Oryzias latipes: one gene and its partner. The protein of the gene in region 1 interacts with the protein of each later gene in a biochemical or structural test. Links are inferred from orthologs where the notes say so. Each region holds a gene or a part of one and is shown on either strand. Other genes may lie near its edges.

Evidence for each region.
Region 2: of the proteins of top2a (region 1) and pias4, one has a biochemical effect on the other in vitro, tested with the Homo sapiens proteins (2 studies listed by BioGRID). The link is inferred for Oryzias latipes from reciprocal best matches to the Homo sapiens genes TOP2A and PIAS4.

What each region holds. Positions count from the first base shown.
Region 1 is NC_019877.2:4,655,738-4,658,558, forward strand, and holds the end of top2a (DNA topoisomerase 2-alpha), read right to left. Parts: intron 2,494-2,821; coding exon 2,341-2,493; intron 2,162-2,340; coding exon 1,981-2,161; intron 1,910-1,980; coding exon 1,857-1,909; intron 1,774-1,856; coding exon 1,660-1,773; intron 1,222-1,659; coding exon 998-1,221; intron 914-997; coding exon 764-913; 3' UTR 542-763; downstream 1-541. UniProt on the Homo sapiens protein: Key decatenating enzyme that alters DNA topology by binding to two double-stranded DNA molecules, generating a double-stranded break in one of the strands, passing the intact strand through the broken strand, and religating the broken strand.
Region 2 is NC_019862.2:7,817,019-7,821,520, reverse strand, and holds the end of pias4 (E3 SUMO-protein ligase PIAS4), read left to right. Parts: intron 1-960; coding exon 961-1,121; intron 1,122-1,335; coding exon 1,336-1,487; intron 1,488-1,563; coding exon 1,564-1,829; 3' UTR 1,830-3,687; downstream 3,688-4,502.

The DNA of each region.
Region 1 (2,821 bases):
TATAGTAAAAAAAAAAAAAACTCACTTTTTAGGACATAGTTTCTGCAGAGCAGCAGTAGTTCCTGACAAATTCACCTGAGCTGAGGGTGGAACTGTAGGTGCAGAAGTAACCCTCCACTGATTCGCCATTATTCCTTTGTTTAAATGCTCTTCTGCTAGCTTCCGTTGCTCAATATCCCATGCCAACATTGGCGGTCCATCAACATTGGTGAGTAATATTGGAGCTATAAAGCTTTCTACTCTGCAGCTAAGAACTAAGACCAGCTAGGAACACTTTGAAAAAAGATAAGAGTGGGACTTCCACCAATCAAAGTGTGCGTAATTTGATCAGTTGGTGTTCACATTTTTTGATAAAACACAAAATGTCATAGTAGCCTGTGTATTGGTCCTTACTTTCCTTTTAAGTAACTGCAAATAGCTGAATAAAGTTAATGACTAAGCAAAAGAGACATTTAATCATGAGTCATTTTATATGACATGTTTTCTTATTGTCATCTTTGTAGCTTTTGCAGACTCCAAAACCTTGTAAGTCATCAAGTTCGACATTTACGACAAACAATACAAACTTTATTCTTTAAAAAACTGGGATAAACACACGTTGAAATATTTACAAAACAGGAACAGTTGAGAAAAGATTTTTAACACAACATATAAAGGTTATGGAACAATAACGTTTCAACTGGCTTCTGTTTAACAAGGAAACTGTCTATTCTGTAAGTAAAAACAAAGAAAAACTGGATTTTTCTGTGATCCACAGATCAATTTAAACGTCTTCATCAGAGTCCGAGTCCAGTTTGTAGGCCACAGGTTTTCGCGCTCGTGAGGGTTTCTCTCGTGGCGCCACGGCAACAGGAGCCGCTGCTTCTTCATCAGAGACCTGGAAGCTATCATCTTCATCCCATTTCCTCGTTTTCTGCAGAATGAAACATTTCAGGTGACGATGACGTCTTGATTTAAACAAAAAGACAGTCTGGTGAAGTCCAGTGTGTGAACTGACCTTGGTGCCAACGCTTGCTTTGTTCTTCAGGCGTGACATGAGGTTGTCTGAGCTGCTGTCGGAGTCATGACTGCTGCTCTGTTTGCGTTTCACAACAGGTTTGGTCTTTGCCGCCTTTGCAGCTTTGCCTTCGCTCTCAGAGTCGCTGGAGTCAAAAGAAGGAACCTTTTTGGCTGCAGCTTTAGGCTTTGAGAGAACATCCAAGATGGACGGCTGCTTAGCATCTGTAAAAACAACAACAAAAAAACAAATAATGTCATTTAAGATGGCACAGCTTTCATCAGGCAACTCGGAGGAAATTTCTAATGAACTCCTGCGGCTCTGCAGAAACTACCTCCTAGAAAACAAGTTTTTGTTTTTTTGTGTTGCTTAGAAATTGCATTATCATAGTTCAAAGAGCACTGAGAACGCTTCCAAAATACATCAAAAGATGAATGGAATGGGTTTTTAAGAAGGCAAAAAGCTACTTTCACTTTTGTTTTGTTTTTTTTTCTAATTGAATACTGGATTTCCTGTAGATGTAACTCATTGATTCCACAGAAAAACAATCATTTTAGCCGTCTTTGCAATGCATTCTGTTTCTGCTCTTTGGTCTGTAAATACAATCCTATTTTAAAGAAATAAGGCTCCTGAATGGGAAGTCTCTGATCTGGTGGCCTCACCTGCAGCCTTCTTCTTTGAAGCAGCTGCTTTCTTGGAAGGAGCCGCCTTCTTTGCTGCCGCCTCTTTAACTTTAGCTGGAGCCTTTGAAAGAGGCTCCGAATCCCCAGACAGAGCTGCAACATTCCAGTAAGAACAAAACCGTCAAGTCAATTTGCTTCATCGCATTACCAGCAGTTATTATAAGGTAGACACTCACAGCTCGAGCTGACTTTGGTTGGTTTAACCGTTTTCATCTTTGGCACTTTTTTTCTGGAAAACACGACATTTTCTGTTAGTTTTGGACAGAAATGGATAGACATCCTCTGCAGTCTCGAACTCACGCCGGCTCTGGTGCTTTGACAGCAGGAGCTGGAGAGGCCACGTCGCTGTCAGAGAGGACGCTGGGCTCTGGCGCGAAGCTGGCGTCGTCGTCACTGAGGATGGCCTTCCGCTTTGGAGCGCGCGTCTTTCCCAGATCATGGAACTCATCTTCACTGTCAGACAGAACGTACTTTACCGGAGCTATAATGGAAAACAGGAGCCATGATTAGAAAAGGAGCAAAATATTCCAATTTAAGGAAAGTGAAAATCTGTATAGTTAGAGGCAACAGGAAGGACCTGTTCCAGTGAACGAGGAAAAAAATGGGGCTTTTTTTCAAATCCATTGAAAATGGCAGTTTCAAGTCCTAAAGCGGTTTCACCTTTGGTGGGACGGTTCACATGCTCCCTCGGGGCAACGGGGGATTCCTCATCTGATCCTGCTTCAGATTCCTCATCCGACCACGGATTCTTCTTTGGCTTCTTAGAGACGGTCGAGAACTGAAGAGTGGTTTGCTTCCCTTTGCTGGAAAGAGCTGGAAGAAAAAACGTCTCTTCAAACTTCCTAATAAATCGCCAGTTACACATGAAAATGTTAGTCGACATGATTTTTTGTTAAAACGCATCAAGAAAACCCATTCACTCTGTTCATTAGTAGTTGAGGTGGCCTCCATCCATTCATTCAATCCCTGCAAAGATTTCAAACCTCGTTTTTAAACGTTCAAGACTTTTGATCAGGTTGGAAGTTGTTTTAACTTCTCTTTGCTCTGCATGTCTATAAGCTTTTCTCAAAGCTTCTTTTGTTTCATTTAGATCTAGGATCTATAATCAAGAAAGTTATTATTAAGATGACTAAATGCTTTG
Region 2 (4,502 bases), on another chromosome or scaffold:
ATGTTAAGAATATTATGAAGCGCCTGTTCGCTCATCGTTTTATTTAATCCGTGTGGTCGGTGCTTTTTTGTGGAAGAATTAAGCTGGAAGAAGGCTTAGGGCAGGCTAACACGGGCTAACATCATTAGCCTTGATGGACACAAAATCCAGGACCGTGCGAGAAACGCAGCAATCTGCATCTTCGCTGCACCTTGGCTGCACGTAAATGTGTGGGAATAACATCAGCCTTTATTTTGTCGGGACACGACTGGAAACACAAATTCATGTGATTGTTTGAACTGTTTGACTGAGCGACATTTATTTCTGCTCTGAAAAGTTCACACAGACAGACCGCCCCAAAGCCACTCTGTGAGCTTTGCCTCTAAATGCAGTTTATGTATGTGATTCTAACCAGTTTAATTATGTTTCCTGTTCAATTACAGTGTGAAAAAAGTCATAGTCCGGGCACAAAGATATAAATACATTTGGTTTAACGTTTAATATTTCTGTCTGAATACGACTTACTTTGTTTTGAATACAAGTCCCCCATTAACTTCCTGTCAAAAATATGTTTTTACAGGAAGTTAATGTGAAATTTCGGATTGAAAAAAAGACAGAAATTTTAAACGTTAAATTTATTTATTTTTGTTTTGGTTTTATGGAGTCAAACATTTTAAACTCTTCCTCGGTCCATATGTATCTGCTTGGATGCATGAGCTCAGAGGTAATTTACCTGATATGCTGCAAAATGTTGATGAATAAATCCAGTTCCTAAAAGCATGTGAATGTGAACACTCTGTTGTTTAAAGGACTCGAAACATTCAACTGTAGGACTTGGAGGTGACGTGAGACTTGTTGGTTTCGACTTGGGACTTGAGACATGGGACTTTGTCCCTCCTGTGGTTCACTGTGACGTCCTGCTGCTGATGTTCCTCAAAACGCCATGACTAACCTCCACTCTCCTCCTCCTGTCTCCTCCAGCTGGTGAAGATGCGACTCGGCGTGCCGTGCCGAGTTCTGACCTGCGCCCATCTTCAGTGTTTCGACGCCGTCTTCTTCCTGCAAATGAACGAGAAGAAGCCGACGTGGACCTGCCCCGTGTGCGACAAGCCGGCTCCCTTTGAGCTCCTCACCATTGATGGGTGAGGAAAGCTGTGTCCAACATTTACGACTGAAAACTTCATCTGCACTCTCGGGCTTTGACAAGTTTTTAAGTCAAAACCACAAAAAATCAAAGCTATGTTTGTTTTGACCTTCCCTTGTCTATACGTGAGGACAACTTGAAGTGTTTTTGTAAGTCTGGGTTCTGCAGATCTTTGGCAGACCTAAAGGTTTTTATCCACATCTGGGTTTCAGGTTGTGTTCAGAGATACTGAAGCTGACGGGTGAGGACATCGAGGAGATCGAGTATTTGACAGACGGCTCCTGGCGGCCAATCAGAGATGAAAAGGAGAAGGAACGAGAGCGGGAGCGCAGTAAAACTCCAGAGTACTCGGTTGTTGACATATGTAAGCGTCTGCGCGTTTCTTAGAGCGCCGTCTGCGCCGCGTTACAGTTCGTGACCTGCTGGGTTTGTGTCTGCAGGCAGTCCTGAAGCCAACGGCCATTCTCCGGCCCACAGCAGCACCAGCCTGACGGGCCGACCCGGAAGCAGCTCCTCAGGGATGGCTGGAGTCACGGGAGCACCGGCAGCAGGAGGTGTGGTAGTAGATCTGACTCTGGACTCCTCCTCTGAGGAGGAGGGGGGTGGGGCTGGAGGGGACAGTGAGGACACTGAGGACAGCGCCGACAGCCCCGCCCCCAAGAGGGGACGATACAACTACGACAAGGACTTGGTCACGGCGTACTGACCCTGCAGTTCTCCTGACAGACTGAGGCAGAGGAGCATGGAGGTTCAGACCTGAGGGCAGAAGGAGCCTGATGCTCACAGCGCGTCACTCCTCTTCGTGGCGTCCTGGCAAACCAACGCCGGTTTCTGGAGGAGAACGCGGTGTCTCCATGTCCCAATGGGGGCTGCTCCTCCTTTAAGCTTGCAGTAAACCCCGTTCCATCCCGTTCCTGCTGTAAAGACTGATCTCCTGACTACTGCTGCCCCGCCCCCTTAGTCTCCAGACTCCTCCCCTTCACCGTCTCTTTGTACAGACTGTCCGCCGCCGCTGCGGACCTTCAGTGTTTGCATCACATTCTTCTCACATTAGTGATGGACAGGAAGTTGTAAGCCAGCCGCCTCTGTCCTTTTTTGTTGTTGTTGAAGATGAAAACATCAGATGAGAAGACATGAAGGTCTGAGGAGCAGGTCAGGTGGAGATCTTGGTTCATAGCATCAGTCCAAACGTTAACCAGATGTTTCAGGATCATCTGGTTCATGGAGGTGCAGAGCACAACACCCCCCCGAAGCTTTCCTTCTACGCGTCCTCGGATGGAGAAACCTACCTCAACCGCAGAAGCTCGGCCCACAGATCTGAGAGCAGCTCTGGAGCAGCTGCAGACTTCCTGAGATGTTTCTACACTGGACTTTCATACGATGTGACCCTGTTCTCGGTCCAAATCCAGGTTCACAGGTGAAGCTCTTATTTTGGTTGAAGTTCAGGATGTGGTCTGCCTGGCTCCTGCAAAGACGTTTGTGGACAGGAAGTGATGGGCGGAGCTGCGCGTTTGGGTCAGTGGAGACGTCTGAAGGTCAGAGGCTGTCACTCTGCAGCTGCATCACTGCGCTCTTCGCACTGCTCTGCTTCCTGGACCTCCTGCTGTCAGGTGGAGCGGCTGTTGTCCGTCACACATCTCACAACAGTTGAACCTCCCGTTGCCCCGCCCGTCAGGCTCCTGTCTCTGCTGATGAGCTCACACCAGAGCCGGCTTTGCAGGATCCGTTTTAGTCCCAGAGTGAATCTTCAGGCCGTCGCATCTCCCGGTGGAAGAGATGTTTGCACTTTGATGGAAAACCTTCAGAGGACTCGTTTGGAAGCTCTGCATGTTTTCATTTGTTCCTGCACTTTGTGACCCGTTTCCATTCGCCGTGGGCTTTAGGTTCTGAGGGTTTCAACTAGAGGGTCGCGCTTGTCCACGACACGTTCTCATCCGCATCTCCATGTTGCATTTGGATCAGAACTTCCTTCACAGCAGAAGAAGGCGGATTCATGGTTAGAAAAAGAAGCTGGAGTCAAATGAAATCTGATCTTCCGGTTTGGAAGACACGAAGGCTTCGGGTGTTCGAGGAGTTCTGCTCCTGTGGCTCCGCTGAAGGTTCTGTCCATAGAACTCCTCGTCTGTTGGAGGGTCAGGCGGCCGGAGTGGATCTCCTCAGCGTCTCGTGACATCATGGTTGGTGGGACCGAGCCGCGTAGATGGTTTGAGCCTGTGGGGTCCCTGGTTTTTTTTTCTTTTACTTCTCTTAGTGGCTTCTCTTTGTAAATGCAGAACGTAGCATGGCCGCCCGGTGGCTCACAGTTCATTATGTACGAGTTTGGTTTTTTAAATGTTCATAAAGACAATAAAATGAAAATCTTATTTTATTACGTCTGGAATTCCCCCTGGTGATTCTTCTGGGTGACAAAACGCTGAGTTCAGCAGCAGCTCTGGACGCCGCCGCTGTGGCCAACATGTTCCACGTGTGAGTCTGTTCAGGACGATGAAACTGTAACATAAAGAAATGTATTCTAACAGCTGTTATTGACGTGTTGAATTAATAAAATCTGTTCTTAAAAAACATCTTCGCCTCTTTTCTGGAACTGTGTGACCTGAGTCTCAACTTCTGCTCTGGGAGGAGCTGCCCACCTTCAGGAGGCATTTGCTCCTACTCCAGTGGTTCCTTCTCTTTTTTTCTGTGTCTCCTCCATCCTAAAGAAGCGTCAGCTGTGGTCTATCAGGTTCAGACTGAACTGCTCTAGGTTTGCTTCACTAAACGGGTGGTTTTGGTTGCAGCGCTGACTGTTCATCCTCTAATTTATCTCGGATGAAACGCCGCCGTCTTCTGAAAACCTGCTGAGACGTTTGCATGATGGCACCAAACTTCAGCAGAGATCTGCTCTTTGGAGATGTGTGCAGCTGAGTCTCTATGAAAAACACGTTTGATGAATCTTCTGAAGTTTACGTTTGAAAAGTCAAAGTCTCCAGAACTGCAGGGTTGATGGGCTGAAGCCGAAAGGCAAACCGGTCAATTAGCTGAAATTACATTTACACAATAGATGATTTTCTGCATTAAGATGCCAGCACCCCTTTATAGAAGTGTTTCTATAGCACAATTAAAAATAAAGTACCAGAAATGCTTATTCGTTATCAAAATGAAGCTGCAAAAAGAAAAAGCAATCCACCAAACTTCTTTTTCTTCTTCACTGCTCATTCTGTCACTTAATTCAAAGGATAAAGAAAATATTATTTGACATTTCATTTTCAAAAGGTTCTCTGGTAAATGTGTAGCAAAATATTTGCAGGGTGGATGTTAAAATGAAAATGCAATCCCCCCTTTGCTTATTTGTTTAAATAATGACACAGAATAAGTGGTTTTTATGTTGAAAATGAAAAAG